Linked DNA regions of Arabidopsis thaliana. Each later gene encodes a partner of the first gene's protein in a complex. Each region holds a gene or a part of one and is shown in the gene's direction. Other genes may lie near its edges.

Region 1 (7,338 bases):
GCACGAGATGCATGTATCTTTGAAAACCAAACATCTAACAATAACAGAGACAGCAGAACAAGAATATCTCTACCTGGTTGGTGTATTTCCTCTTAAGCTGGGTCGAAAGGAGAGCAGCATCAACCTGTAAAGTAATATTGTACAGAGAAGTTGAGTTCAATCACAAAGCCTACAAATATCTCAAGAAACACATCATAGACATCAAACAAACCTGCTCGCTTTTAGTTCCTTTCTTCACAAATTCCAACTCCAGCGTCAGCATAGCCAGATCAAAATTTTCAGGAGGAACAAATCTGCAAGAACAAGACAATATTCAGAAACCAAAAACGTATTCATGCCAGAAAATTAATATAAAAACAAGCTGTATAATCACCTGCTAACAGATACCATATCACCAGTCGAAACTCTAGCGTGTCGCCTTTGAATAGCATTGAGAGCAATATTTCCATCACGGATGCTTCCATGTCCAGTAATCACCAGTTAAGTTCACAAAAATCGAAATAAATGACACAATGAACAAGTTCAACATTGTCACCGACCAAAGGAGCCTAGATTTCTATAATCCATGAAAACCAGAAAAACCTAACTTGTACTACGATCATAGATCAATCAATCATTATAAGAACCATTCATAAGGCCGAGATTCAAATTCGAAGATCGATTTTGGTAAATTTAGCAGTAATTAGCCATATCACATAAACAATCAACTCCTAGGATCGCATTTCGCATTGCAATGTAAGAAATGAATCGTAAAATGGAAATAAGAAAGGATATCAGAGAGAAAGAATGAAGCTATCGGCAACGTTGGCGAGGAAGAGATCGGAACCGGGAACGGAGAATTGACGGAGATCGGAAGAAGAGCAGTAAGCGAGGTTAGTAAAAGCTAGATCTGCGGACGGAGTATTGGTCACAGTCATCGTCATGACTTGCGATCCGTAACGACCCGCCATGGCTGGGGTTTCGATCTCAGGTTTCTTCGAGTCTTTTTGATTTTTGTAACCTTAACGAATAAGAAAATATTTGAGGGAGAAGCAATAAACAGAAGACTACGATTGCTTCCTTGATTTTAATAAGATCTTTTATTTTTCGAGTCCTGATCAATGTTTTGGAAACCAGACCAAACATTCCGGTTCGACCAATAGCCGTCTGAATTAAACCAAAAAGCGGTAAATTAAATCTGGTCATACCCTCTCGGCTCGGTATTAGAATCCGGTTTGCAACACAAATCATAATTCATTTTTTTTGTTGTTCTTTTCTTATTTTTTTTTTTTTTTTTCAGTCTAAATTTTAGAATACTTGCTCACTGATTATTTTGAGCAAGTCATGCATGAGACACATCCTCACAATTCAATTTGAGTTCGGATTAACCACATTTATTTATTTTTCAACAAATAGTTCAAAACTTCAATCGATGATCAATTATGTGAAACTAGAAGGTCAACACATAAAAGCTCAAAAGATCTTGGACTGTCACAGAGCAATGATAGATGATGGATGCTAATGAATGGAATAAACACAATGAGAAGGAAGATGAGGCAAAACAACCTTCACATAGGGAGATTTTTAAATTGAACAACTAGCTCAAGTAAACTTATAAGTAATGTTGTAAACATGGAATGAATAAGTTTGAAATTTGGTGCATTCTTAGATATGAGAAGGTGGTTAAAAGGGTATGGTGCAAAGACATATCCATCCCTAGTATTTAATAGATTGAAAGAAGGAATTTTTTTTTGGTTCTAGTTTAATGAGTGAAAATGAAAAAATAAATAAAAAGGCAAATGAAGATGAAGATGAACTCAAACTTTTGACTCTCTAATGTAATCTTATAAGCAAATAACCAACTTTTCTACTGAAAGTTATAAGAAAATGAGGCAAAAGTTTTATTTATATTAGGGAATTTAATGAAAAAAACCCTCAACTTTGGCCAGATCCATTTTTAAACCCTAAACTATGTTTTTAGTAAAACAAACCCTGAACTAAAACCTGTTAATAAACTTAACCCCACAGTAATTAAACAACGTTTAGGGTTAAGTTTATTAACAGGTTTTAGTTCAGGGTTTGTTTTACTAAAAACATAGTTTAGGGTTTAAAAATGGATCTGGCCAAAGTTGAGGTTTTTTTTCATTAAATTCCCTTTATATTAATTGAAGCCGCAAGCATGAGCTTGACCCGTTTGTGCTCATGGATGGCTCTGCTTGTATCTAGTTAGAAGCCGAAACAACTAGTTTTCAGTACGCTATGCATGTAACTCAAAGAATTTGGTGTAAGCAATAAGTGATTCTCATTCTTGGTCGTGCTACATTGAGGGAGATACAACAACCATGGGAAACACTTATGCCTAAGCCTAACTTTTGATTTGGGAGGAGGCAAATGAACTAATGCCTAAGCCTAATATTTTGCACAACTCTACTCGCGTGGCACCTCTTATCATCTTCAAATTGGTGGATCGTGAGCTTCGCAACCTAATCACTTCTCGACGACATCGCAAGCGTTGGCAGCGGCTAATGCTTTTATGGATTCGTTAAACACACCTAAATCTTTTCTAATTCTATTGTAGCCTTGTTTTTATTTTTTTTGCCTTGGTTACTTTTCTATAGGTTGTACGTTCTTGTATTTTCTGAACTCTCATTGTAATGATATTAACAAATTTAGCAAAAAAAAAAAAAAACTAATGTCAAACAAGGATCCTCAAATGCCAAATGTCAAATTAAGTTAGTACCTTTCCATGTTTACAAATTTGAATTTGAAGATGGTAAATTAGAAGAAAAAATGAAATTATGATCATTTTCCTTAATCAAAAGATTCAAAACTATCATTTAAAATTTACTTCTTCATTTTTTGCTCTTAAAAGAAAAAGTAAAAAATTACAAAAAGAGGGGAAAAAAATTTAGAGAGAAAGTGACCAGACACGACGGCGTTTTTGCATCACTTTCACCGAGATTTTTTTTCTGCATCCCGGCGACGAGACTGTGACTCCACCAAACCCTAAAATCAAAATTGCATTTTTTGTTCGATTTTGATTTTGTGGGGATTTTGGAATTTTCCCCGCACTAAGTCGTCTCGTTAACCCCACTTAACAGTTTCTCACTTTGACACTTTCTCTCTCTCTCAACGCACAGTGCTTTCTGTCGCCTTCAATCGCGACTTTTTGTCACACTTGCCCTCTTTTCTCCGATTTTTCTATAAATTTAGGGTTTTGTTTGCTTTCGTTGACATGAATCAGCAAAACCCAGAAGAAGAAGTTTCTTTGGTTAATAATAGCGGTGGTGGAGGAATCATCGAAGCTCCAGCTATAGTGGAGGAGAAAGAGGAAGAAGGATTACAGCAGAAGCAGGAAGAGACTATTGAGTCTACCGATCCGATTCTCGTCGTCGTTGAGGAGAAATTGTTAGAGAAATCAGTAGACGGAGAGAAAGAAGACGATAATAGTAGTAGTAGTAACATGGAGATTGATCCTGTGAGTCCGGCTACAGTTTTCTGTGTTAAGCTTAAGCAGCCCAATTCCAATTTGCTTCATAAGATGAGTGTTCCTGAATTGTGCCGTAACTTCAGGTTTGACTCTCTCTCCCATCGGAAAATCTTTAAATTTCATCAATTCCTGTAAAGTTTTCTCCTTTTCTTTGTGTTAGTGCTGTTGCGTGGTGTGGCAAATTGAATGCTATTGCTTGTGCTTCCGAGACCTGTGCCAGGATTCCAAGGTATGGTTTTTGTTACTTTTCTATGTCTTGAATGTATGGGCAGTGATGAATTTCTCAATTTTCATCTTTCTCTGTTCTCATCTCTTGCAGCTCCAAGGCAAATACACCTTTTTGGATACCAATACATATCTTGATACCTGAGCGCCCTACTGAGTGTGCGGTGTTTAATGTTGTGGCAGGTATTTTGATATCAGTTAATTATTTATGAACTCGGTTGATCTAGTGGGTGATAAACGATTATGATGCAATTTTTTATATGTAGACTCTCCTCGTGATTCTGTCCAATTTATCGAATGGTCTCCCACTTCTTGTCCTCGTGCGTTACTCATTGCTAATTTTCATGGACGTATAACTATCTGGACGCAGCCTACTCAGGTTTGTGCTCCTGATCACTGGGATTTACCTTTATATTTCTTCTTTGTCTTCTGTGTCAAGATGTTTTATGACACCCTCAGATGATTTTTTTTTTGTGGATTGGTTTTGCAGGGTTCGGCTAATTTAGTGCACGACGCTACCTCCTGGCAGTGTGAGCATGAATGGCGTCAGGACATTGCTGTTGTTACAAAGTGGCTGACAGGGGCTTCCCCAGTATGTAATCTTATGTTTTGCTTATTTGCCATTCTATCAAATGCACAGCATATTTGTCCCTTAATGAGTTCGTTAAATTAGTAATGGAGGGCTTGCATGTGAGAGTGGGCACTGGGATTACTAAATCGTGAGTAATTGAACTGGAAATGTCTCTACGTTTTGGAGGAAATGAGATGGAGAAAACACAACGTCCTGGAAATCCCAACTCTCTGTTTGCAAAATTACTAGACTCCTAAAAGATCTTCCAATTTGCGTTTCTTAGATGCATTTCTTTAATGATCGGCATGAACACATAAGGAAATGAGTAACAGATAGATAATAATGCCATTGCAAAGAACATGTTCTGAAGGACTTAATATCATGTTGTTTCTGGCCACCTAGTTTGCTGCTCTAGTTTTATCCTAGGAAATTTATCCTCTATGTTTTCTTTTTATTGATAATCAGTATAGGTGGTTGTCCTCCAAGCCAAGTTCTGGTACAAATGCAAAGTCAACTTTCGAGGAGAAATTTCTCTCGCAGAGCTCTGAAAGCTCAGGTTTTCTTCTGCGTGCCTCTTGTGACTCATTTTTTGATGATATATTCAGAATTATGCACTTAATTTTAATTATGTCAGTTCCTTTGACATCCAAATATATGTGACAAGATCAATACAACATGTTCTGACGTTAGTGCATTTTCCTCCACTTTATGTGACGGTTCTGATTCTCTACCATTTGTTGCAGCTCGGTGGCCCAACTTTCTCTGTGTATGCTCTGTTTTCTCATCCGGCTCTGTTCAAATTCATTGGTCCCAGTGGCCTTCTAACCAGGGAAGCACTGCACCAAAGTGGTTTAGTACAAAGAAAGGTCTTTTAGGTGCAGGGCCAAGTGGAATTATGGCTGCTGATGCTATTATAACAGACAGTGGTGCCATGCATGTAGCAGGAGTTCCAATTGTAAACCCTTCAACAATTGTAGTATGGGAGGTGACCCCTGGCCCTGGAAATGGACTCCAGGCGACTCCAAAAATCTCTACAGGCAGTCGTGTGCCACCATCCCTTAGTTCTTCTTCTTGGACAGGTTTTGCTCCTTTAGCTGCGTACTTGTTTAGCTGGCAAGAATACTTAATATCCGAGATAAAGCAAGGGAAGAAGCCCTCAGATCAAGATTCCAGTGATGCTATATCGCTAAGTTGCTCACCGGTTTCCAATTTTTCTGCTTATGTAAGTCCAGAGGCTGCAGCTCAGTCTGCAGCAACCACAACATGGGGATCTGGTGTTACCGCTGTTGCTTTTGATCCAACTCGTGGTGGTTCAGTGATAGCAGTTGTTATAGTTGAAGGTACTGTTCTCATCCTTCTCGGAACCTCATACTGTTTCCATGATTGAATAAACATTTTCAGGTTTACGTTTAGTTTTTGGTCAATCATTTAGAAATGCTCATATATTGAAGAGCTGCCAGATGAGAAAATGCTAATTTTGTTTGAGTGATGAAGCGCAACAGCTTCAATCTATTGTTTAAAATAAATGCTAATTGTTTGTGTCTGCAGGGCAGTACATGTCTCCGTATGATCCAGATGAAGGTCCTTCAATCACAGGCTGGAGAGTACAGCGCTGGGAATCAAGTGTTCAACCTGTTGTACTGCATCAGATATTTGGAAACCCAACTTCAAATTTTGGAGGACAGGTCCCCACGCAAACTGTCTGGGTATCCAGAGTGGATATGAGCATACCACCTACTAAAGATTTTAAGAATCATCAAGTAGCTGCAGCAGGACCAAGTGTGGATGCACCAAAGGAGCCTGATTCTGGTGATGAGAAGGCTAACAAGGTTGTATTTGATCCTTTTGATTTGCCAAGTGATATTCGGACACTTGCACGGATTGTCTATTCTGCTCATGGTGGTGAAATTGCGATTGCTTTTCTTCGTGGTGGAGTTCATATCTTTTCTGGTCCAACTTTTTCACCTGTTGAAAACTATCAAATAAATGTTGGATCTGCAATTGCTGCACCCGCATTTTCACCAACAAGCTGTTGTTCGGCTTCTGTATGGCATGATGCTGCTAAGGACTGCGCAATGTTGAAAATCATCCGTGTTCTTCCTCCTGCTCTTCCGCGTAACCAATCAAAGGTTGATCAATCAACATGGGAGCGGGCGATCGCTGAGAGGTATGTAATCTCTGGTATATATTTTCTAGCTTGTCTGCTTGCAAAGGAACTTATATTGTGACTTGAGATATGAATCTGCATTCTTTCTTAACAGATTCTGGTGGAGTCTTTTGGTCGGAGTTGATTGGTGGGATGCAGTTGGCTGCACACAGAGTGCTGCAGAGGATGGGATAGGTATACTTTAGTGCTAAGTTTCTTGATTTAAGTGTTATTTAATATCTGCAGTTGGATTTTTTTGGGTCTTTAGTTGTGGAACAACCACTGGAATTAGTTTTGCTTAGAAATATGACAGTTTGTATTTTAGTTTGGGAATAAGTTCTAGTTTTTAAAGGCTGAGTGTCATTCAAAGAACCTTTTCTCTGTTTTTCTATTTTGCTTTTATACTAAGGTTTGAATGATAGAAACTTTGAATGATAGTGGTTCAAATATTATATTGTATTGTTTGAATAATATACTGCTTAAAGCATTGGATGATGTATTTCTTTTTATGATTACAGTTTCATTGAACAGCGTGATTGCTGTCATGGATGCTGATTTTCACTCCCTTCCTTCAACACAGCACAGACAACAATATGGCCCTGTATGTTTTTACTCAACCCGAATCCAACTCATTATCTTTTTCCTTTTTAAATGTCTGAACTGTTTGCGTTGCGGTACCGTTTATTATGTCTTTGCAAAATATTTATATATATATATATATTTTTTTTTCTGGTTTTATAATGTAAAGCTTCTCTATTCCATGAGCATGCAGAACCTATTTTGTGTTGTTCTTTTATCGGACTATAAGATAGTGTAGCTTTCTCTAATTTAAAAAAAGAAAGAAAAAAGGAACAAACTTCATCTGACTTTAGATTATTTGAGTAGCCAATATACAATGCATCTGATTGACTGATTCTAAGACGCTGA
Region 2 (8,419 bases), on another chromosome or scaffold:
AAAAAACTAAAAACTCTTCTGTTGATAGGAACATTTTGGGCAGCAGCAACAGGCAATGCAAATAGAAAACGCAAACTTTGTTAAGGATTGGTCAACATGCTCGGTAATTTACTCGAATGACTCTTCTTTAGTTCTCATTTGTAACAAAACAAATTGTAAACCCGGCTGTACAACTTTCAGATGCAAGATGGGATTCAGATTCCTTTAGAACAACAGCTTCAATCTATGTCATGGATTCTTAATAGCAACACCACCAACATTGTCACCGAGGAACACAATTCAATCCCGCAGAGGTTAGTGAAAACTCTCACCGAGAGAACTTTTCTTTCTTTTAATATTGAATCATATCTTAAAACCAAATCTTTGTCTATCCTCAAAAGGGAAGTCGAGTGCTCAGCGAGTTCTTCATTCGGGAGCTATCCAGGCTACTTTGGAACAGGGAAATCTCCTGAAATGACAATTCCGGGTCAAGAAACAAGCTTTCTTGATGAACTAAACACCGGACAGCTGAAACAGGACACAAGCTCGCAGCAGCAGTTCACTAATAATAATAATATCACAGCATACAATCCCAATCTTCACAATGATATGAATCATCACCAAACGTTGCCTCCTCCTCCTCTTCCTCTTACTCTTCCGCATGCTCAGGTGTATATTCCAATGAATCAGAGAGAGTATCATATGAATGGATTCTTTGAAGCACCACCACCTGATTCTTCTGCTTACAACGACAACACCAACCAAACCAGGTTTGGTTCTAGCAGCAGCTCCTTGCCTTGCTCAATCTCAATGTTCGACGAATACTTGTTTTCCCAGGTAACCAAAACAAAACTTTCTCAGAGATTCTAAATGGGTTTTTGTTTTGTAGACTGATTTGACAATTTGTTCTTCTTTCTTATAGATGCAGCAGCCGAACTGAGAGAGATTTGATGAATGATGATAAAACATCTCACTGAAGAAACTCAAACCAATATTTTTTTTCAGAAACAGCAAGAAAGCTAAAACTCTGCCGATTTCTGAATTGGTTCCAAGAAGAAAAAAACCAGTGGTAATCCCTGGTAGATTGTGCAACCAAACCACACACAATACGTGTTCATTTATTTTTTCTATATCTTCAATAGATGTCACTTAATTCTTTTCTATACATAATTTCTCAGTCAGATGAGATTTTTTGAGGTTTTCCATATTTCTCCGGCGATAAAAGTTAGTAGTGTCTTTGGAGGGCTGTCAAAGTAACGCCATGACAGCCAAAAGATGAGAAACTCTCTCTTCCTTCCCTTCCCACAAACTCTAGCCTCTGTATCTATTCTTTTTCATTCTTTCAATGTAAAACAAACAAACAAAACAATGTTTACTACATTTTTGTTTTTGTTTTTGTCTTCAAAGTACTCTTGTTTATTAAGTGATTTATACAAAAGTTTACAAGTTATGTAGGATGAACTAAGGAAGCTTATGTTTATGGGTTAGAGAGACTACATTGGATGATTCTTCTAGGATTTTGAATCACCAAGAACCATCAACAAAGCCAACAGTATCTTTCACACAAGTTACTAATATCTTCTTAAATAGTTTTACTTTGTAAGAACCATTTCCTTGAGTGGGTTTACAATGGGACGGACTAACTTGCGTACAAAGACCGTTTTTTATTCACTATTCATAATTTTGGTCCGCAGTTTAGTAAATAGGAAAAAATATAAAAACTCTAGGGGAATTGGAAAACTAACCAAAAAAAAATATAATTAAGAAACTAGCATAAAAAAAAAAGCAATGATATCCTCTATATTTTATATATTAATTCCAAGTTTACCCCCTCTATCTCTTTCCGTCTACCTCTCTCTTCCCTTCTCTCTCCCCTCTATCTTTTTCTCTCTCTCTCTTTCTCTCTCTTTCTTTTTTTCTCCCCCTCTCTCTTTCTCCTCCCAATAAAGTTCCTACACCTACCTCGTTACTTGTTTTTTATTTCAAATTAGAGTCTCTTAATTACTTTAGGGTGATATTTGATTTGGGGGTTTCGAATTACAGAGCGAGGAACACAAGTTAGGTTCAGGGAATTGACTTTCGTTGTTGCACTTGATGATGAAATAGGGTTCCGTTGTTGCGCTTGGTGTATTGGTGATGAAATTGAGTTCCGTTGTTGCATTTTGAGAGATACTATTCTATTTTGTAAATAGTATACTATTTACGTATACCTTGTTCTATATACGTTTTAAAATGAATTGTTTGTTTTGATTAAAGATGTTAAGTGATTTCATTAATGTTTTAGATTTAAACCCTTGGGTTCCCTATATATTATCCCTTTAGGGTTTAGTATACTTCCATCAAAAAATATTGTCAATTTATATAGAACGTTATGTTATTCATTGACAACACTATTCACATCTAAATTATTTTGTGTCTATTTTCAAAAATTTAAGTCATGATATTTGTAGAAAACTATACAACTTTTTAATAGATATATCATGAACTTGAATTAAATTTTTTAAGATCAGATAATATGAGTTACAATTGAAAAGGAGTAAAGAAAAAAGAAAGAGAAAAGAGAATTTCTCTCCTACCACCTATTTCTCTTCTCACCTCAACACCAATAATAAAGTCACGTCAGCTCACACTAATCATTCTCCTTCTTCGCTGACGAAGCGTAACACCAGGACAGTGATGTCTTTTTACTCTCCTTGAAGGTTATTTACTACATTTACAAATTTATGGTGTTAGTTGGTTAATTATTTAGTAAAAAAGTGTTATATCTACAAATCACGCAAAACTCTATTACGGACCAACAAATAGTTTATTTGAAAGCAAAAAAACAAAACTTGGTCCGTAACGGATTATTGTCCGTCTTAGAAATATAATGGTCTACTCCGCAAACAGATTTGTCCGTCTTAGCGACATATTGGTCTAGTCTGCAAACGGATTTATCCGCTCTGTCTATTTGTTGCAACCTTGTAAGTTTTCAAAGAGGAAACACATATATATGTTATGGATTCGGTATGTTATTATATTTCCCGGTTCTATTTCTCAAACACACTCTCTCGTCTTCTCCAATAACTAACTTCTCCAAATCAAAGCCTTCTTCGAGATTTTGCGCATTCCTCGTTTTCTAATTCGTAAGTTTCTCTTTTGTGTGTGTTTCTAATCGAAACTTTTGTGTCAATTTCAAATCGGAAACCTAATTAATTTGTTCAATTCGCTGTGATGTTAAAAACCCCTAATTACGTTAAATTTGGAATTAGGGTTTGTGTATTAGCTCTGTGTTATCAATGGAGACACAGCCGCAGCAACCACCTCCTCCTCCGGTAGCTGAGAAGCTGAATCCAAAACTGGAGAAGGAACTGAATCTGGAGTCGTTGAAGACACGAGCCGTTAGCTTGGCCAAAGCCATTGCTCGAATCCTTGAAGATTTCGACGCTTATGGTCGAACCAACACTACTCCTAAATGGTTCATCATCATCGAATCCAGAATTTGATAATATTTTGATGTTTATGAATTTTTTGTAACAAGGATTGATTTTCTTTTTGTTTTGAACAGGCAGGATATTCTAGGGCAGTATTCGATGGTAAATCTCGAGCTTTTTAACATTGTGGAAGAAGTAAAGAGAGTTTCAAATGCGTTTGTTGTGCTTCCTAAGAACGTCAATGCTATGAACGCTGCAAGTATGGTCTTTTTTTAGTTGTTTTAGTTGATGAGTTAAATGAATTGTGAATGTGATGAACTGGTTTAGCTTAGCATTTATCAGTGAATCTGCAGTTTTACCGGTTATGTTGTCTTCGAAATTACTACCGGAGATGGAAACTGATGACAATGCCAAGAGAGAGCAGTTGCTTCAAGGTGTTCAGAGTTTGCCTATACCAATGCAAATCGAAAGGCTTAAGGTTAGTTTTGTAATGTATTTTTGTTGTGATTTGTTTGCTGGTTTTTGAAATGGTATCTGTTATTACAGGCGAGGATGGATATGATTGCAGCAGCTTGTGAAAATGCAGAAAGAGTATTAGCTGATACTCGTAAAGCTTACGGATTTGGCACTCGTCAAGGCCCGTCTATGCTTCCTACTATGGATAAAGGTCAAGCTGCAAAGATTCAGGAGCAGGAGAAAATGCTACGAGATGCTGTAAATGACGGTAAAGGTAAGAGGGTTTTAGAATTTATTGAGTCATTTGATAGTGTACGAAACTGCAGTTTTCTGTTTTGCTGAATTCCTTCTCATGTTCTTTTACAATGGTTGTTTCTAGGAACACAACTGCCTCCAGACCAGAGACAGATAACCACTGCACTTCCACCACATCTGGCAGATGTGCTAATTATCAATGATGCAGGTAACGATTTCATTGATCTGTCTGGTAGAAGTAAACCCAATGCTTGAATCTTCTTTATTTTGTTACTACTACCAATGGTATTCTCACGTTGTTAATGGCTCCAAAAATTCTCTTTCATTAGGTAAGATTGCATTACCTGGGCAATCAAACAACATTAACAATCAAGGAATGATGCAGGTTAAACTAGTTTATTCTCTCTAGTTGTGATGATTATTACTTTTGTTAGTATCATTGTCTTTCGAGGTTCATGTCTTTGTGTGTTTTTAGGTTTCCGGGACTCAATTTGTGGGAAGATCAGCTGCATCTCCATCTGGTCCTAATTTTGATAACACAACATCTCCCTTACCATATTCCAATTCTCCTCGCGCTACGGGTATGGTTAATGTGCCTTCGCCTCAGCATCAAATCCAGCAACAACAGTTTCAACAGCAGCAGCAAAGGTCAAAATTAATGCAGTTGCCTCAACATCAGCAGCAGCAACTACTTGCACAACAACAACAACAGCTCAGGCAATCTTCTATGCAGGGATTGGGTCAAGTAGGCTTTGACATTTTGCAGACGTAGCAATTGACTGTTTTTTCCTACCATACTGCTTTATTGAGCAACATGCTAATTCTTTGTGTAGAGTCAGATACCAGCACTTCATGATATGCATGGGCAAGCTCAGCAAAAGTTTCAGACGGTAAGATAAATAGAACTACAACATAGTTAGGGGATAGATGTGTGAAGTGAAAAGGATCAGACACTACCTTGGTCAATTATTTGTATCATTATGCAGTAGTTATGGCCATAAATGAAGATGACTAGACGTATTTATACAAGTTTACATATACCAAGTGAATGATTCATACTCTTGAAAAGTTATCCTAGATCTTGGGACTTGGCAGAAGCTTTTATATAAAAGTAACTGTGACAGTTCGTAGTTTCAAACAGTAGAATCAAATGAAATTATGAAACAAGCTTTTGTCTTTTAAGTGTGAGTTTTATCTTATTTTTCAGTCACATGGGCAACATCAAATGCCATATTCCCAGCCAATGGGCGCGCACCAACAATTCCAAGCTAGACAGCTCTCAGGTGGACATATTCAGCATAGCATGTCTCAAGGACAGCTCAATCCAGCGATGAACCGTCACTTAAACCAGTTTTCAGGTGGAGCCAATAGTGCATTGTTTACTTCTGCACAAGGCTCCCCAAGTAGCCAAATGGTCAGTCACCTCTCTTTAACCTCTTGAATTGATGATTCGAAACAATTACTAATCATATTTTCTACGTACTTTTTCTTTTAATTCTAGATACCAAACATGTCATCTATGCAATCTCAGACACTTGTTCCTAGGATGCAGGTTAGCTCAAAAACTCCTCTACTCATTATGTTTCCCAAATCTGAACGATGAACATTGTCTTAATCTGATGATCTCTTTGGATTTTTATGGTTGTCAGCAATTTGGAGTTTCGGGTACCAATCCCCAAAGAAGCCATTCGTCTCAAATGTTGGGTGACCAGAGTAAGTAAACAAATCTCTTCTAAAACATGTTTTCTTACATCAAAATCGATTCCCTGACTATTTCATTTGTCCTATCTTTACAGTGTTTAACACCAGCGGAATGATGCAAACACAGCAAACACAAATTCAGCAATCGCAACAGCAGCAGCAGCAGCAACAACAAGGAGGCTATGGAAATATGCAGACGAATCAGCAGAGTCTACAGCCTAATAACATGATGCAGAATGCTCAACAAAGGCACCAAAATCCTCAATAACCCCTTTTAAATAATTTGGGCTTGTAATGGGCCGATGCCTGTATTTTGTAGTACCAAAGGCCTGGCCCATTCTTTAACATTAATACACTCACCAGATTTCTCTAGTTGTATGGTACTTTCACACTACACTAGTACACTTTGTTTACTTGTATCATTGTATGAGGTTAAAAACGTGAAGCAGAGATTGGACGGTGGAGGATTGTTTTCGTTCTGACATGTTTATTGAGAATTCGACACGTGGCATCGACGTGAACATCTCGACGCCGTTGATGGGGTTATAGAGACAAAACGAAGACGCGTTTCTGTTGTACACGGGACTCGAGAGAGCGACGTGTCTATGAAGTTTACCTGTTTTCTGAACTTTAAACAGAGAGCTTTAAAACTGCGACTCGAAAGCTATTAAATTTTCTGACAATTTGTTTTGTTTCTTGTCAACTTAATTTTATATACTCATTTTTTATGTACTTATTTAGCTCAACGACTCGTTTAGTTACCTCAATCAAATTTTGAAATTTAGTTACCATTTCTTTTAAATTTTTTGTTTGCTTTTGTTACAAATATGAAAAACTAGTTTACTTTGGTTTTTAGGAATTTGCGAAAAAATCACTCAAAATCGCTTATTTTTACAATTTATTGTGCACATTCAAAAAATGCAAAATAAATTTATAAAATTTAAAATAATACACAATATAATTTATTTGTGCGATTTTGCATATGTTATAAACGTTTTCACTATAACATATATTTGTATTCAAAAGTTTTAAAGATATAATTGAACTCATCATCTCAAAGGCTTTGATTTGATATATTATTTTCTTTAATATAAATATTCAATGCATAATTTTCTTTAAATTAATTTTATATAAAATAAATATTTTACTATATATTATATGAAATAAATGCTTTATTATAGGGAAAAAACCCAAAACAAACCTCAACTTGTTATGAATAAAGATGGATGCTCATTATAACGCCCATCATCTAAACTCATCATCTAGATGTTTCTAAGGTTTTACCCTTTCCTTGTAATCCTATATAAAGAACCCTTTACCTCAATGGAATAACACACTCATTTTCTTCTATCTCTTTCTCTGTTTATAACACGTTATCAGGACGCTCTAAAAGGTAGATATAGAGATTCTTACATTTTTTTAAGAACCATGTTTACTTATCGACTCATGGTTCATAGTATTTATTTTCTATTATTGAAACAAAACAATATGAGCCGATCGATGATTATAGTATAGATCGGTAAAAGCATGTTTTCAATGATTCAATAAAGAAGAGAATCATGCTTATCATTTGTTTCTATAATTACTATCGCATGATTCAATGATTCTACAAAGAAAATCGTTAAAGAAGATAATCATGCTTATTAATTGTTAATTTTTGTGATTTATTATTACAATAATGAATATATAAATTACCAATTTTATAATTATATAACTAATTTTGTAACTATTCATAACCCGGTGGTAGGTGATGCAAACATGTATTAATGTTTTAGCATTCCAGTTTTGAATAGTTGCATCTATATTCAATATCATTTTATAAATATTATATTGTCTAAAATCCATTTATGATTGATATGATATCCCTTATTTAACTCCTTTGATTAAAACGTTATACATATCTTATCACTTTTAGATATTGACTTTTCCATATTAAATATTTGATTTCCATATATTTGATTGTGTTATTATTATTTTTACTAAAAATGTTGCAAGATAATTTTTCTTTTTATAAGATTCCATATATCTAAATCTTTGTGTTATTATTATCTAAAAATTTTTATAAGATTTCCATATATTTGATTGTGTTATTATTATTTTTACTAAAAACGTTGCAAGATAATTTTTTTTTTTATAAGATTCTTTTCTCTAAATCTTTGTGGTATCTAAAAAAAAAAAAAAAAAAAAAACAAAAAAAATTGTTCATGGTTTTGCCCTAATTTTGCACGAAATCATTTTACCCAAATCTTGCACGAATTCATATTAGCCTAAATAAAAGTTTTGTCAAGATATATGTAAAATCCAGATTTTGCACAAAATAGTTTTATTCTGATTGGTTTTACAATATTGCATTAAAATTGTATTAGTATATCATACTTGATTATTTTATGAAATAAATTGATTGATAAATAACTTAATTTAAAGGTATAATCACTTATAGAAATTTTCATGAATGACTAGTTTAATGTATCTTAAGAAGATATCATATTTTTGATGGTCAAAATTTTTTCAAGAACTTAAATTATCACCAAAAGTTGAGAAAATAAATATGGTAAAAAAAAATAAGAAATTTTGAAAGAACTATTATAAACTTAAATCGAGTGTTTTTCAAAGGC
Region 3 (7,823 bases), on another chromosome or scaffold:
CGTAATTATGAATTTATGAGTGCGCAAAAATTATCTTCTCGTGTTCGTCTAGTTATGATTTCAAGTCTTTCTCAAAGGCTCCATATTTCAATCGGAATTGTTATTGATTTTGGTATCTATAAATGTTTTTGGTATCTATAAATGTTAACTTCTTGTTTTTAGCTTTTTAATTTTATGTCGAAAAATCTCATTATTGGCCCTGCATTTTATCACCAATTTTCCGACAGTTCTCTCGTTACTGTTTCTTACATTTTCCCACACCTAGTAAATTGTATACTCATAGTAAAACTCAGTCAATGATTCGAGGTAAATAAGATTATACAGTAGAGTACCAAATTATTCGTCTGTTCCAGATGAAGTTAACATTAAGTATGTTTGCAATTTACTTTTGTTACAAATGTGGTTTGTTAGTGTAAGTGATTTAGTGTCAAATAGGTTTTCCCATCTCAATGATTCTCTTTTTACAGCTTTTGTTAGACTAATAAAATGCTATTCAAACCAATTTTATTCAATATCGTAAGCATGAAATAGCCTGTAATAATCTTACATCTTTCACATCCAACTCTGTAATAGACTAGCTTTATAGTTCTTTCAATTTAACAATGATGTTCATTCTTGTTTTTTTTTTTTTTCATTTGGCATTAACAATGATGTTCATTTATCATTATCAAGATATTCACACACACCACACGAATTCCACCAGCTTCATATTCAAAAACAAGGGTTCCAAAAGATAATTATGCGTGTTATCGATACACTATTAAATCAAGAAAACCGAGAAGCAGTAGTTACTATTTTCAAAGACTCGTTGTTCAACACTCTTCAATCTCATCCCACCACATAGAACACATAAGTTACAATCACGGCATATAACGTACGATATAGTGTATATCATCAGTGTAAGAAAAAAAGTAAATAAATATGTTTTTTGTGTTTGCACAAATGAGTTTTATTCAGACAAAAATTCACAAAAACTTGTAAAAGCAAAAATTTATCTATTGTGCAATGGATTAGGACCTGTGAAGACCCTTCTCTTGCCATCTTCAAAAACATCTTCACCACCACCTTCATAATTAGTATATTTTGATCCTCTTGATGACGCAGCATTGGAGTCAAGATCATGAAGCTTTGGATCCAAATTTCCAGATTTCTTCAAGCTTCCATGAGTTGAGTGATGATGTATATTAGGAGAAGACGATGAAGCTTTAGCGTAAAGAAACAGAAACAAAAGAAGAAGAAGGATGATCAAGGCAACTGTAGTGATGTGTTTCCTAGATTTTCTTCTAGAGTAGTAATTTCCCATCTCTTAGGAATCTTCAAGATATGAAGAGTTTCTCTATAAGGTATAGATTATATATTTAGAATCGATTTTTGCAAGTATAAAAGATCTGATCAAGATCTCTTAAATAAATTCTCTCTCAAAGTCTGTAAGAATGAGAAGAGAGGAATGAAAGTGATGGAAGAAAAAGCTATGGGGCTTTTAACCTATGACTTCCTCTAAAAGTTTGTTGCTCTCCCTTTCTTATTCTCCACCACTTTCTACAAATAAAGAGAAGAGAAACTAGATAGAGGTTTGTAAATATATATATCATTAATTTTTAACGAAAGTTTTTTTTGTGTGTTGAATCATTTCCAAAGGTCTTAGCTGGGATTACTAGGTCAAGTGGTAGTAATTAGTGTGGTTAATAATATACTTATAGTGGTTAGTTTTAGAGAGTAATGAGGGTGTGATAATAAAGCATATAGAGGAAGGTAATTATGTGAAGGGGGTCAAAAGTAGAAAGAAATAGAAAAGAGAGAAGAAGGGGCCAAAAAGGGAATTGGAGTGATGATTCTAAGACTTAGCTTTCTTTGGGGAAAATGATGTTGTCTTCACTCCCTTTTTCTTCACCCACATTTACACTCACTCACACACATGAAAAAATCCACTTACCACTTGAATCTTCTTCCTCTCCATTTTATATAAATGTTGTATATCTATATTTGCTTCTCGTTTTTTAGTCTTTCTAAGATTACTTTTTTTTTTTTAATTTTACTTTATTATGAGTTAAGAAAGAGAATAAAGAAAACAGTATCACAAGAACTAAATTACATACATGATACATATATGGATATGATTCTCCAATATGCATCTTCTACCTTCGATAAACGTATTTACAACTTGTGCAACAAATGTTTTTAAGAAATCAAGCTGAAAGTTTATAGAAGAAAAAACAAAGACTTACGTCCAATATTTGTCAAGAAACACCATATGTGATATGTACCTCAATATATCCTCATCAGTCATCACGTTTTTATATATTATATTCCCATTTATTTTACAGCAGACAAATCATCATTTACATAGTAGAGAGCAGGTATACAAACTCAAATCCCCAAAAATACCATTATTCCATTTTGTTCTCGTCAAGCACTTTGTCTCTGATGTTATATCAGCAAATATACACGTATGTATTCATCGTATGTTTCATCTTAAATTGTAGAAGATATTGTTAGGCATGTCTCGATCGGATTAGACCTGTCCGACCAACCCAAAACACTGAAAACTTACATTATTTATGTTTTGATAATTTTCGGTCTTATAATGGTTTTTTAGAATAACAATTCATGTTTTTCACTCAAGTAAATAAAAAATATAGAAAGAGATAACAATCTAAATCGGATATAAATAGTCGTGGATATTTTTGTTTGGATAAGAGTACCACCGGTTAAAGAGAGATTCATTACTCGGTTCGAATACGGTTTAGCTAATGGAAGATCCTTGATTTGTCTGGTTAAGTGGGCCGTGTTGAAGGAGCGCGTGAAGCCCACGCGGAGCCCTTGAATAATAATAAAAAAAGGCTGACTGTAATTTGTTGATTATATTGAGAGAGAAGCCAACGGAAGAAAACAGAGAATAATTCCTCTCTCATTGGTCATCAGACACAAAAGACTCTCAAACCCTAACTAGTCTCGCTTTTTCGCTCTCTCGAACCTTCTTCGATCTCTGTCCTTTCTCGATCACTTGCTAAAATCAAAATTTTAGGCGGGAATTCGATACCCAAGCCCAAGACCCAAACACTTCCCCCCTCACGTTTCGCTGCTTTCGTTAGCTAGCTTTCTCAAACGAGATCTGGGCTTGTCGAAAGAAACGTGTATGTTGATTGTTTCGATTCTTTCTCCTACCAATTGAATCTGAGATTTTGGTTTTGCTATTGGGCTCTGTCTTGTTTCGTTTTCGAATTCCAAATTCCTCAATTTCGAATTTCTCTTCTGCTTGAAGCTTTTTTATCGAGTCTAATCTTCGTTTCTAGTGATTACTTCGCTTGTCTGATTTTTTTTTTGTTAGCTTCATTCCTAAATAGAACAAATTGATGAAACTTTCTTGTTGACTAGATCCAAAATGTATGGACTTGGTATCTAATTTTACTTTTACAAACTTCCGAAAACTTTCTAGGGTTTTGTTTCTGATGCTAGTTTCATTTTTTTTGAGCTTGGAGCAGAAAAGTTGAGAATTGATAGCATCTAATGCTAAATTAGATTTTCTTACTTCTTAGTTTTGGTCACTATGAAATATGAGCTGGTGCTTAGTTATAACTTTTGTATTGTTTGTGCTACAGAATTGTTAGTTTAGATAGTATCGAAGCTGAATTTGCTTTCTGTAGTAGTATTATTTCCTTATCACTCTATGCTTTTTCTGATTTTTGTTTCCTTGTGTAGGATATATATGCAGTGAGCCAGTGATCATGCAAAAGAAATTCAGAGTGCGATAGAGAAGATGGAGCCTGAACGTTTAAAATTTGGAGGTACATTGGTTTCGAATTTGGAGCTTCTTCAGTTCGTGAAGTTATTTTTTTTGTAGCTCGTTGTCCTTTGTTTTCCCCTTTGGCTCACCTTGAGGTCAATGTGTTGTTTGTTTCAAGTGCAGGTCCAAGAGAGTTGTGCGGTGCTGCGGATCTTATATCTCAATTCAAACTAGTGCAACACCATGAATTCTTTTGCAAGAAATCTCTTCCTGTTTCTTTATCAGATTCCCATTATCTTCATAATGTGGTTGGGGACACAGAGATCAGAAAAGGAGAAGGAATGCAATTAGATCAGCTTATTGAGAGCATATCACAGAGCCGGGAGACTAATATTCGCATCCAGCCTTTTGATATAGATGAGCTTCAGGAGTCTTTCCAACTAAATGATATGACTCCTGTTGAATTACCCCCAGTAAGAATCTGATCTTTCTCACTCTCTCTTGGTGTTTTGAGTTTTAAATGTCCTTCTTTTCATAAGAGTAACAGTATTTGCCATTACATTGAACTTAAAAACTGGCTCAGTAATGAATGTCCTATTTCCTGTAACATCAAGTTCTTTGGTTAATTGAGAATCTTTCCCTAGTAATGTGAATTACATCTGGGTGTCCTATGGAGATGATTGACCTTGGTACTATTCTTCTTTCAGGCAGAGAAGGGAGCTCCTACAATTCCGTCTAAGTCAAAAAGTGAGTCGAAAGATAGGGACAGGAAACATAAGAAACACAAGGACAGGGATAAAGACAAAGATAGAGAGCATAAGAAGCACAAGCACAAACATAAAGATAGAAGCAAAGATAAAGATAAAGACAAGGACCGAGACAGAAAGAAGGACAAAAATGGCCACCATGATTCGGGTGATCATTCTAAGAAACATCATGATAAGGTAAAGAACATGTCTGTTTGTTGAAGGTGTCTGTCTTTCCAAAGAAGAATAGCTTAATGGAAAGTTTTGTATTTGTTGCTCTTGAGTTAGGCTGCTTTTTTGACCTGCTTGGCATGAAATTAGCAGATCTAGAGACTGCTCTAGAACATTTTATTGAGTTTTTATGGAGCCTTTTCACTTATATTTCAGAAAAGGAAACACGATGGAGATGAAGATCTTAATGACGTTCAGAGGCACAAAAAAAACAAGGTAATGGTAATGAAGTGGGGCCTCAAATTTTTCTCGTTCTTCATTAACACTCAACATGAAATTTCCACCATAATGTTTTTTTTGCACAAAGGTGCTAGAGAACTAGTAATATGTCTTTGATAAATTGTATTGATTCAGCTCTTGATTGAACCTGTTGCAGCATAAAAGCTCAAAGCTTGATGAGGTGGGTGCAATAAGGGTTGCTGGCTAAAAAAGTTGTAGACATTCCAATTTTGTATTCTGCACTCGAGTAGGTGTCATGGAGACTTTAGAAGCACTTTTCAACTCACTGTAGACAGCTTATTAGGTAAGCATCTGTGTACTGTCCTGTCTCTTTTGTACAATTTTTTCGGTGTTCTTGGTATTCCGGGATCCTTCATAGAACATATACATCTGTTATAGTCCAGATACTATACTTTAGGGGAACTGAACCCATAATATTTTTAGGCAGATACTTGAGTTTTGTGTTGTATTCTTTAAGTTACTGAAATCCAAATAACGCAACATTTGCAAGGGAACATTGTATGTGTCTCTGTGCGACTTCTGTATTGGTATTGGATTCTTTTCTGGTCTTAAGAAAGTTGCCGTGATACATAACTAATGAAAATCGGGTAACCTGTCGAAAGAACATATCAAAGATAGGATGTGTTTCTAAATAGAACAGTCTCAGCTAACACAAATCATTGCTTACATTTTTGTTACTTTCTTATATTTTCAAGTTGTGTTGAACAAAATGATTGGCTTTGTAGGTTAAAAGCCCAAACTGGTGAATTCATTCCTTGAAGAAGAAAGGGGAAATTTGTGAAATGAAGAAGAAGAATTTAGTATCATAATTGATTTGGTGTCAGATTTGTAACATTTTTCTTGGGGTGTTCTATTCCATCTCTTTTCTGTCTATATACTCAATACAACACAAATCGTTACTATTCATGTATAATAATTTACTTACCAATTGATGTTGTTGAAAAAGTAACTGTCAAATCCACTTATTTACTTTTACTTGAGTGTCACAATGTCTATCTGTCTGCGACTATGCCTGTAAAAATTGATCAAATATCTGAACTATTTTCTCAAAAATATGTCGGATTATATGATTACATCTGTCGAAATCTCAAACACAAATTGTAACACTAGAAGCCATCCCCGAGAGTTCTCCATCATTTACTCTTTTCCATTCACCATCTATCATAAGGCAGCTTCTACTTTCCTCTTCATCATTCCACATCAGATTCTCTTCTGCTACAGTTTCAGTTTCCTCATATGCATGTTCTATTTCCATCTCAGCTTCTTCCTCGTATGATTCCAATGTCACATCATTTGATTCAGAATCTCCTGCACTCTTCCTTGCTCGCTTGCATGGCGATTTCTCCAATTGATTTCTATTACACTCAGCTCCTCTCTTCGCATTGTTGTTACCTTGTGCTTGTTTTGAGATGCTCTTAGCATTCTGATTGTCAAGAAGAGGTAAACGTCCAGAAGATCCAATGATCCGAGGCAACATACCAATTGGACAAGGGCTCCATGTTTTTGCCTTTCTCCATCTGTTACCGGTTTTGTCTGTGTCAATACCTTTCTTCTTTGAGAGTTGAAGTTTGACGAACTCAAGTCTCTTGCCTGCATTACCGAGATTCTTCTCTTGCTCAAGGAGCGTTGTACTAGCTGTTACAAGAGTAGAACTCTGTTTCAATGGAACAATTGCAGAGCTTTTATGCATAAGAGGAAGTTTTATGAGCTTCTCCTTTAAGACACGGCCTCCCACAATCTCTGCGAGTAGAAATGCTGATTTCAAAACCAGCTCATATCCTAAGGCTCCCAAGACAAGACATCTACGTATAAGTTCCATAAGGAAAATGCTTGGAGGTTTCACTTCTAGAGAACTGTTTCTCTGAAAATGCTTTGATCCATTGAGAAGACTCACAAGCCATGCAAACAAGAAAGGGACCTGCTCAACTTGAGAAACCTCTTCCACTGGCTTTTCTGTAAGATGCAAATTTAGATACAATTCATACATGTTAGAAACGATCTGAAAACAATTTAAAGTTTCAACTGAGGATCCTTAAGAGAAAAAGCATTTAGGATAAACCAATAGTTACCGGTTTCATGTCTTCTCCGTTCATTATTTTGGATCATATCAAGGACTTCCTTGAGTAGAGTCAAAAGTAACTCAGGTTCTCTATTTGAGAGTTCCATTATTACAGGTTTCCATTCATCTAGAAAGACCCTGAAATCTTGCCCAGCCTTATTCTGAAGATCTGTCGACTTTGAAGAATCCAAGGCCTTGAGTAAGAATTCAAGGAGCACAGATGAAATTTCTGCGGAGAAAGAAGGGTATAACTCAACAAGGCTGCTTACAATCTTCCTTATCCTTTTATTAGAACCTGAAAATCACAAAAATAACCTTATATGACCTTACGAATTAACAGATATGCGAAGTTAAACACGAAAATGCAACCCAAAATTATTTCCATCTCTAAAGCTGGAAAAATAATCTAGTGCAGCCAAAACCAATGTATCATGTCATTATAAACTTCATCGAGGTAAACAAGCAAGACACCGATGGGATCATTCCCATTTTTTTGCTTGGTGTTACTACTTACTAGCCCTTCCCCAGCACAAGATCCAAGATACAAAAGAAGTATTACATTTTTCTTTGACCAAAGGGGAGTCAAATTGAGGATTACGCTTCAGCTGCAAGGAGAAAGCAAGTTTCCTGAGTTTGGATTTGACTTCTCTTCTGATGCTAGCTGTTCCATCTCTCTTTAAGGGGATTTGATACTTTTGTTGCTCCCAATAATACGATTTCAACCATTCAAGAGCCTACAACGACCAACGAATGTATGCAAGCAAGTTAAAATCTTCTGTATTGTCCAAGAACACACCACATAAAACATCTTTTTAAAAAGACT
Region 4 (8,134 bases), on another chromosome or scaffold:
AATAATGGGGATTAAGCATTCGAATTTTCAATTTAGGGGGAAACTGGAGTTTAACTTCAAGTTTGTGTGGATTGAAGTCGAGATCCGAATTTGGTGTAATTACGGTATTATACGAAACTTTCTGTGGGGACACAGGTCGTTCAACGACGGTCCATACTATTCAGTTCAAGTTTATTTGTTCGTCTTTATTAATGACTGACTTAAGTGCCATTTAAGTTTGTTATAATCATTTACTCGTATGTAATTAGATGAAATTTAGTTGGGCGTTAGATACTTATGATGAGTCCTTCACCTAACATAACATATATTGTTACTTGACGTCAACACAAGAAATCTTCTAACCTTCAAAAAGTCAAAAGAATCAAACAGCGTCAAAATACGAAAGGGGCATTTACTCTTTTCGATATCGTTAAAAGTCAGAAAAAGCGTATAAATAAATTATGAATGTAATAATAGTCAACGATACAACACACAAGAAAACCGTATAAATCCAAACTAAATTATGCCATGCAATTTACGAAATCGTCGCTAATTAAAATTTGCTTCTAAATTTTCTGCTTTAGTCACGACATTTTGATTAAAATATTTCTCATCTCAGCTTTGCGCTAGCTGTGGCAATATCAATAAAGGTCATAAAAGTAGAGTAATTATATCGGTCAGAACACAGAACAGTTTCATAATGTTGAATCCGGTATGGCATTTTGGATTATATTTTCTTATATTGGTGGCATTGATTCAACAGGTAAAACAAAAAATTTGATTCGAATTTCTCACATATAATATGTTGTTGTTGTTGTGGACAACAGAGATTTGAGTTTGCTTGGTCATATCTTGGAACAAAGTGCACATAGTTTTTAACAACAACAAAAAGAAAAAAACCAAGTACACATAGTCGAATATCCGAAATCTTTAACAATATTAAGAATGATATTAATCAAAGAAAAGATTATTACATAATTTTTGTTTGATAGGGGTTGGTATAGACGAGGTTGATGGTTATCTCCATTTTGCTCGTTATCCATACTCTCAAACGGTGTTTGAGTATCTTGAATTGGAGATACGTAATTACTTATTATAAAATGTATGCCTACCATTTTTTGTATGAATTACTAATAAATTACTTTTTTTATATAGTCTCATCTTCTTCTATCAAATAACTTTTATTTGACTCTTATTTCTGAATTCCTCGTCCTTATACTTTTATCTCTTAATTTGTTTGATAAATAATCTCGAATAACCTCGTACAAGTCTCCAAACACTTTAGATCTCAACGAAAATACAAGAAAAATGACTTATTCCTTATAAATTTCATAATCATTTAGCTAAATTCCCCATAAACCTATGAAAAATATTTATTAGAGTAAATTTCAAACACTACAAGAATACAAAGCTTTAGACAATTTTGCTACAGCAAATTCAAATATGCAGGGTTCTTTTTTTTTCATCATAATCATCTCAATCTTGCCTATTTATCTTCTGTAATTGACCTTTCTTTTAATCTTACTAGTAACCGTTAATTTTTCTATCCACCTATTTTCTTTATCTTCCGCAGTTCGAATAGTTTTCTTTGCTTCTGTATTAACTTTCTCGACGCTTTCTTAGAATCATTAGAGTAGCAGAAGAAGCTAATAATAATGCCTACTCGTTGAAGATAAACTTTAATCATCATTCATAAGCTTAAAGTTCTAGAACAAGTATGACACAATGATTCAAATAAATATATGCATATTGAATAATTTGAGCCTAAAAAATTCTAATTTTTCTTTCCAACTCCAGTCTAATTTTTTTTTGTCGACTTCTAGCAAAATACATTAGGTGTTATATCTATAATTGGTTATTCAGATAATAAAAAAATTGTAATGAGACCGTCCGTGGTAGATGGATTTCTTATCTCTTGTATACAAAACACGCACCATTTTCTTCAAGTAGGTCCACTAAAACACCGTAAAGCAGCCACTATATCTGCTGACGTGTCGGCCAATCAAAGTCTGTCACGTAAACGTGGCTGTGACAAGCCCGTGAGGTTAGCACTCAAAGGAGTCCCAGTGTTTTTCACGCGTTTGAAGGTGAGTAAATTCTGATTGGTAATCACCACCGTCCCAAATCGTACGACTTCGTTTTGTCACGTATTAACATAAAATCAAATTATAATATTTTTAGGGGTCGATTTTGTTGACCAACATTTAATACATGCTTCTCATTCCACAAACAGAAACTTCCTTTTCTTCTTCTATTTTCTGTTGTTGCTCTAACAAATCAAGCTAAGTTTAATAGTCCAACTTATTTTATAACTTTGTAAACACAAAACAAAGTTCTTACTTTGAATTAAAACAGTTATGATTGTGGTATCATTTTGGAACATGTAAACATAAACGAAAATGCAAATACAAAGAAAAACAGTTGATTTTTTTTTTTTTCAACAACAACAAAAATAAGACAATGTATGATGATTGATGACATGATGCTATCATGCTATGTCTTTTTTTGGTAAATTCTCTAAAATAAATATGATCTAAGTTAAGGTTTGGTTGGATTGTACCGGAACATTATGAGTATAAGTGAAGAGTTGTAACTTTTATTTACAATTGATAAATTGTAAATAAACTACATATCTAAGACCATCTCTATTGGGAGTATCTCATAAGAGTTTCTCACAATTAAAAAAATAAAAATAATGAAAATGAAGGAGAGAGAGTGTAGAAAGTTTCTCACTTGAGAAACTCTGAGATAGTCTCTACAACCCATCATGACAATTATCATCTTACTATTGGTTTAATTTTTTAACAAAAATATTTTTTTAATCAAATAATCAAATTATAATATAATATTAATATTTTTTTTGTTTGAAAAACTTTGTGGGTTTTTCATGGATGGAGATGCCCTAATGGCCTTAACAAGTATGGGTTATGAAAAAATAGTCGATGAATTAATGAAAAAGCTGTGAGGGTAACGAGGTTAAAACATTGTGAGTCATTTTGTACCTAATCCAAAGTACAAAGGGATACAAAAAAAATAAAACAACTTTTTTGTTAGATATTTTTAAAACATTGTAAACAAAGAAATACTTGTTTCTCTGTCTTACAAATCTGAACAAATTAAAGTACCTAATCCAATTTCTTATAAAACAAAATAAAATGAAATGATAGTGTTAACTGTTAAAACATGAAACTATTGTTTTGAATCGGATTTACCAAATATTCTAATATATCACTCTTTGACTAGAAGATAAACGCTTTTGATCAGCAGCATTAGGAAATAAATATCTCTTCTTCAGAGCTTCTCATTAAAGTCCGTATAACTAACTAAACACTCTTAGTAGAATTTACTTTTGACATTTTCCAACGTAAAAAAGATTTATGACCCAAAAAAAAAAAAAAGAGTTTGACCTTGTAATCACTTAACTTGTGTCGTCGTTCAAGTACAACGCATGTGTGAGGAAAAAAAGAATAATGTGTTTTTATAATAATAATGAAAAGCCAAAACAGACCGATCAGGTCAAAAGAAAGCCGTAAAGAAAATCCAACTTAAAATAAAAATAAAATCTCTTTTACCAAACAGATATACAGAGAGACTTCAATCAGAGGAAATAAATAAATTTCATTATTTCTCTTTCTGAATTAATAAAAAGGTTTCTTGTTGAATTGAATTTGTAGCTGTGTTTAACGTAGTAGCACTTGGGTTTTAGATAGACAACGTAACCAAAACTGTTTCATGTTCTGTCTGTATTCTCTCTTTTGCTTTTTTGGGTTTCCTCCTTCTTTCTCATCTTTGCTGCGGTGCATTTTTTTCTCGGGAAAATCCTTTCTGGGCTTTCCGGGAAAGTTTTCTTGTCAGATTCGGAAAGGTACCAAAAAAAATAAATTAATAAAAACTTACCAAACAGATTTTGTGTTTATCTCTCTCTCTATAGATTCTTTTGATCACAAATCCTTTTCGTTTTTGATCATATTTTGATTGAGAACAAAACAATCTTCAAAGTCTCAACCTTTAAGTTTGATTGATCTTTTTTTGGTAAGTAAATCTTCTGTCGTAGATTCGATATTTTCTGATCTTCTCTTTTCGAATTCTTCAATCTTCAACGATCCCAATCTTCTTCTTCTGGAAATCTATTTTGCTTCTTCTTCAAATTTTCTGGGGAAAAAATCAAATTCTTGAGTTAATTAGACTCCGATTTTGTTGAATCGAGAAACGATGAAAGCATCGGGTTCATTAGATAGCTGGAGAGAATATTTCCGACGGCGAGGAGATTCCGATATATTCGGGATCATCGATCATGCGATCATGGTGGCTGCTACTGATTGTCCTAACAAATTCAAATCCAGAAGAGACAAAATCGCCGAGCTTTTATTCTCCTGTAGAGTGAATCGTTGCGTCGGATGCGACCATCTTGAATTGTCTGTTCCCGGAGACGACGAGGCTAACCGTGGAACCACCGGAAATGGTGGTGGTGGTACGGCGGTTGATGAAGATTATGAGGTTGCTGGTGGTAGTAAAGAGAGCAAAGCTAATAGTAGCAGAGGGGATAATAATCAGATTGTTAGCAATTATACATTTGATGAAGCTGAGGCTTTGAGTGATGAGATTGAAGAGTTTTCTGTGGTTTCTAAGGAGGTTGCTAGGATCAAAGAGATCTTGCTCAACAAAGAAGATGAGGTTTGATTCTCAAGTTCTTGAAATTTCATCAATGTGAAGATTTTTTTTTTGTGTTTTCTGATTGGTTCTTTTTTGTATTCTCTTGCAGCCAAACTCGGTGTTACTCGATTCTTTAAGACATCTTAAGTTGATGTCTTTGAATGTGGATATTCTTAAGGTTGGTTATCTTGGTGGATAGTGTATGAAGTTGTTGTTGATGATCCTTGAGATTCTTAAGGTTTGCGGTTATTCTCGCAGAGTACTGAGATTGGAAAGGCTGTTAATGGCCTCAGGAAACATTCTTCTGATAAGATTCGACAACTCGCTAAGACTCTTATCGCGTATGAGTTTTTGATCTTTCACAAGTTTGATTGACATTTGCTATGCTTTTGCACTTTTGAATCTCACATTTGAGTTTTTGATATGTTTATGCAGAGAATGGAAGGAGTTGGTGGATCAATGGGTGAATACCACAAAGGAAATCACTGGTAATTGCGCTTTCTCTGTCTCGCTTTTCGATCTTTTATGACTGGCTTCGTGTCTTACCGTTTGGTTTCTTGAATTAGATCCATAGTCTTTGGTTCTAATTTTGTGTTTAAAACAGGTGCTGAAGGTACACCAGAGTCTGCAAACCCGTCTGTCCTTGATGAAGAAGAGGCGTTTCCATCGCTTCCATATGATGTTGATATCTTTACACCTGAACCAAACGGATTTGAAATCTCACACTTCTTTGATTCCTTGGACTTTGATGGAAGTGAGTTTTAAAACTATGTCTTGTTTGTTTGAGAACATGTTCTTAGCTACGTGTTGATTGATTTTCTTGGGGATGTTTGTTTCAGATCCTCGTAACTCTGAAGAACACAACACAAGCCGAGAGCATGAAAGAAGGCCACAAAATATCGCCAAGAGAAAACCTGAGGGAACACAAATGAGGATACAAGATGCTCCTTTTAGATCTATTAAGCCATCATCAGCTACTGATTTTGATGGGACTAGAAGACCTGTAAAGCAAAGTACAGAGCAAAGGATGAAGAACGAAACGGTATCTGTTCACAAGTCTGAAAAACCCATGATCCAAAGGAAACCGGTTGTTACAGAACAGAAGCGGAAAGCTCCTGGACCTCAACAAGAAGTGAGTGTGGAGACAAAGCTCTTGTCTAATATCCTATTCTTGGACGTAGAATTGATGGTGTTTTTGCTCTTGTCCCTTGCAGAAACTTAAAGGTCTTGATGCAGACGCAAAGTTTGAGTTTGCAAAGAGGAAACTTCAAGAAAGCTACCAGCATCACGAGAATGGTTCGTTTCATTTCCTTTCTTTTGTTTCGAGTTTTTTGTTACATTCTTGAAAACAAAAGAACTTAAAAATGTTTGTGATCTTGCCACAGCCAAGAAGCAGCGAACGATACAAGTACTTGAGATGATCCCAAAGCAAGGTAGTGCTCAGAAACCGCAACTCAAGAGACCTGGAATGAGCAACAGGAATTGGGCTAATGGGAGAAAATAGTTTCTGCTTTGTTCAAATGGTGAATAATTCTCGGCAAAAGATATTACTCCATACTTACCACACATATCTCGCAATCTCTGGTGCAATAAAGGTAAACAGAGTCTAGTTCCACAAAGCTGGAGACAGAAACAAGCAGAGGAGAAGGAACAGAATCCAACATAACTTTACTTTGAACAAACTGTTTACTCCTCTGTTTTGTTCTGTCTTGGATTCACCAATTGCAGCAAGATAGGGATACCAATTATTGTTTCTTTTATGTGTTCTTTACTACATTCTTGAGACTTTCGGTACAGTCCCGGTTTAGTCGGGTTATGTTCGGTTTTGGGACAAGGAGAGAGGTCCCTTTTACATATATATCATATAAAAATAGTAAAAGAGAGGGTAGAAAAGCTCATTCGAAATTGACCGGCTCTTCACCTAACTTTGTATAGTAATGTGAAATGATTTGGGACACAATATAGAGATGATGACACTTTTTTCCAAATAAATAAATATTTATATAATGATATCCAATTGTTATGAATGAATGTGATTGTGACCGAATGTTGTCATTTCTTATTACTTATGTATATAAAATAAGATGGCATTGGAAAGGCTTAAGGAAGGTGGGTGGATAAGAAAAGAGGAGAAGGTAGTGGGGGGTGGGAGATAACGTGGATGGATAGGAATGTTGTTGCAGTGTGGTCTTTGTGCGTGTTGGTATTTTTTATTCAATGTTGTTATTATCTCGGCGTTACGCGTTCACGCATTTCACCACATGAACCACGTGGACTTCTACAACTTCTATTAATCTTTCACTCCATTTCTATTGAAAGAAAAACAGTTGGATAGAGATAAATCTAGTTTTATGGTCACGATTTTATTTCGTGAAAAGGAAAATGCACTTTTTAGTTTGATTAAATAAGTACACCCAAACACTTTTGGACAAAAACAAACGTAATGATTTTTGGCGTGATGGTAAATTCGTATGGATGTGTTGGTTATTTTTGTAAACTTTAGCATGTGAGAGAAAAAAAAAGTTGAGCATGTGAAAATACAAAAAATATTGTTGTCTGTGTACAAAAACTGAAATGACATTTAACATTTAGTAAGTTTCAAAATTTAAAACATTAACTCATAATCTCAAAACTTTAAACTAAACAAAAAACTGCAATTCCAAAAGCTCTAGAACTTAAATCTTACTATTGATGCAGCGAAATGTCTTTAGTTTTTTTTTTTTTAACAAAATTATGAGATCTTTTTTTGTTGTTGGAAATATCACTACAAAATGTCTAATTCATACTATTTTAAGAATATAAAAAATCTCATTTATAATCAATATGCAATGAATAAATTGACCTATATCCATTACATACTTTGTTAGATTACACTTCATTTTTGATGTGAAACATTCTAGCAGGATTAATGACTCAATAAAAATAGAAAAATATGCACTTAATTTAATTAATGATATTTGGTTCCCAGTCGTTGGAATTGGGAAGACTTGAAAAGTAGTGAAGCATGTGAAAAAATGCTAATATATAGATCCGAGAGATTGTGACTATTTCATTAATTGACCCTAAAGAAGAAGGCATCTTTTTTCCATGCAGAGAATCGACATGTTTTTGGAGAGAAGTTGACATGGACAAAAAAACAACAATAGCATCAGTTCTGCTGCCGACACAAAGTATTTAGGTTACCATTTTATAATTTATGTGGAGTTTTAGATAGATAGACAGCTAATCGTTACAAAATTCCTTGCGTCGCAATCAACGGTGAGATAAAGAAATAAGAGTTGACAAATGAAATAAGGGAAAATAGTTGAGTATCGGTTCTAAACAAAAAAAAATCCATCATTTAGAACGTTCATCAAATTTTCATGGTTTTGAAAATTGATTATACTATATAATCGAATAACTCAACTTGTTTAATTTGAGTATTGTTGAGTCTTATTTGATTTACGATTGGACAAAGTCTGGAAACATTATCAGAATTATGCGCAATTTAAACCTTTCTCAT

Evidence for each region.
Region 2: SFR6 (region 1) and MED8 share a complex: the UniProt entries of both Arabidopsis thaliana proteins name them as parts of the mediator complex.
Region 3: SFR6 (region 1) and MED19A share a complex: the UniProt entries of both Arabidopsis thaliana proteins name them as parts of the mediator complex.
Region 4: SFR6 (region 1) and AT5G05140 share a complex: the UniProt entries of both Arabidopsis thaliana proteins name them as parts of the mediator complex.

Annotation. Positions count from the first base shown.
Region 1 is NC_003075.7:2,494,717-2,502,054, forward strand, and holds the start of SFR6 (sensitive to freezing 6), read left to right. Parts: upstream 1-3,214; coding exon 3,215-3,552; intron 3,553-3,629; coding exon 3,630-3,698; intron 3,699-3,788; coding exon 3,789-3,877; intron 3,878-3,960; coding exon 3,961-4,073; intron 4,074-4,184; coding exon 4,185-4,286; intron 4,287-4,730; coding exon 4,731-4,821; intron 4,822-5,008; coding exon 5,009-5,605; intron 5,606-5,813; coding exon 5,814-6,432; intron 6,433-6,526; coding exon 6,527-6,606; intron 6,607-6,929; coding exon 6,930-7,012; intron 7,013-7,338. Other genes in the region: NSF (AAA-type ATPase family protein), read right to left, coding at 74-124, 212-293, 374-469, 775-950. UniProt on the Arabidopsis thaliana protein: Component of the Mediator complex, a coactivator involved in the regulated transcription of nearly all RNA polymerase II-dependent genes.
Region 2 is NC_003071.7:902,721-911,139, forward strand, and holds MED8 (mediator subunit 8), read left to right. Parts: upstream 1-2,792; 5' UTR 2,793-3,104; intron 3,105-3,230; 5' UTR 3,231-3,257; coding exon 3,258-3,436; intron 3,437-3,526; coding exon 3,527-3,651; intron 3,652-3,745; coding exon 3,746-3,870; intron 3,871-3,938; coding exon 3,939-4,122; intron 4,123-4,227; coding exon 4,228-4,311; intron 4,312-4,432; coding exon 4,433-4,488; intron 4,489-4,578; coding exon 4,579-4,848; intron 4,849-4,936; coding exon 4,937-4,993; intron 4,994-5,310; coding exon 5,311-5,517; intron 5,518-5,604; coding exon 5,605-5,655; intron 5,656-5,752; coding exon 5,753-5,816; intron 5,817-5,899; coding exon 5,900-6,072; 3' UTR 6,073-6,552; downstream 6,553-8,419. Other genes in the region: AGL30 (AGAMOUS-like 30), read left to right, coding at 29-103, 181-293, 381-849. UniProt on the Arabidopsis thaliana protein: Component of the Mediator complex, a coactivator involved in the regulated transcription of nearly all RNA polymerase II-dependent genes.
Region 3 is NC_003076.8:3,951,220-3,959,042, reverse strand, and holds MED19A (mediator of RNA polymerase II transcription subunit 19a-like protein), read left to right. Parts: upstream 1-2,857; 5' UTR 2,858-3,134; intron 3,135-3,699; 5' UTR 3,700-3,757; coding exon 3,758-3,785; intron 3,786-3,907; coding exon 3,908-4,197; intron 4,198-4,431; coding exon 4,432-4,668; intron 4,669-4,857; coding exon 4,858-4,917; intron 4,918-5,077; coding exon 5,078-5,128; 3' UTR 5,129-5,224; intron 5,225-5,666; 3' UTR 5,667-5,903; downstream 5,904-7,823. Other genes in the region: AT5G12236 (uncharacterized protein), read right to left, coding at 761-895; CLE22 (CLAVATA3/ESR-RELATED 22), read right to left, coding at 992-1,303; AT5G12220 (las1-like family protein), read right to left, coding at 6,029-6,894, 7,011-7,295, 7,560-7,734. UniProt on the Arabidopsis thaliana protein: Component of the Mediator complex, a coactivator involved in the regulated transcription of nearly all RNA polymerase II-dependent genes.
Region 4 is NC_003076.8:1,516,162-1,524,295, forward strand, and holds AT5G05140 (Transcription elongation factor (TFIIS) family protein), read left to right. Parts: upstream 1-3,543; 5' UTR 3,544-4,191; coding exon 4,192-4,653; intron 4,654-4,741; coding exon 4,742-4,810; intron 4,811-4,890; coding exon 4,891-4,973; intron 4,974-5,067; coding exon 5,068-5,120; intron 5,121-5,236; coding exon 5,237-5,386; intron 5,387-5,471; coding exon 5,472-5,764; intron 5,765-5,846; coding exon 5,847-5,928; intron 5,929-6,017; coding exon 6,018-6,136; 3' UTR 6,137-6,976; downstream 6,977-8,134. UniProt on the Arabidopsis thaliana protein: Component of the Mediator complex, a coactivator involved in the regulated transcription of nearly all RNA polymerase II-dependent genes.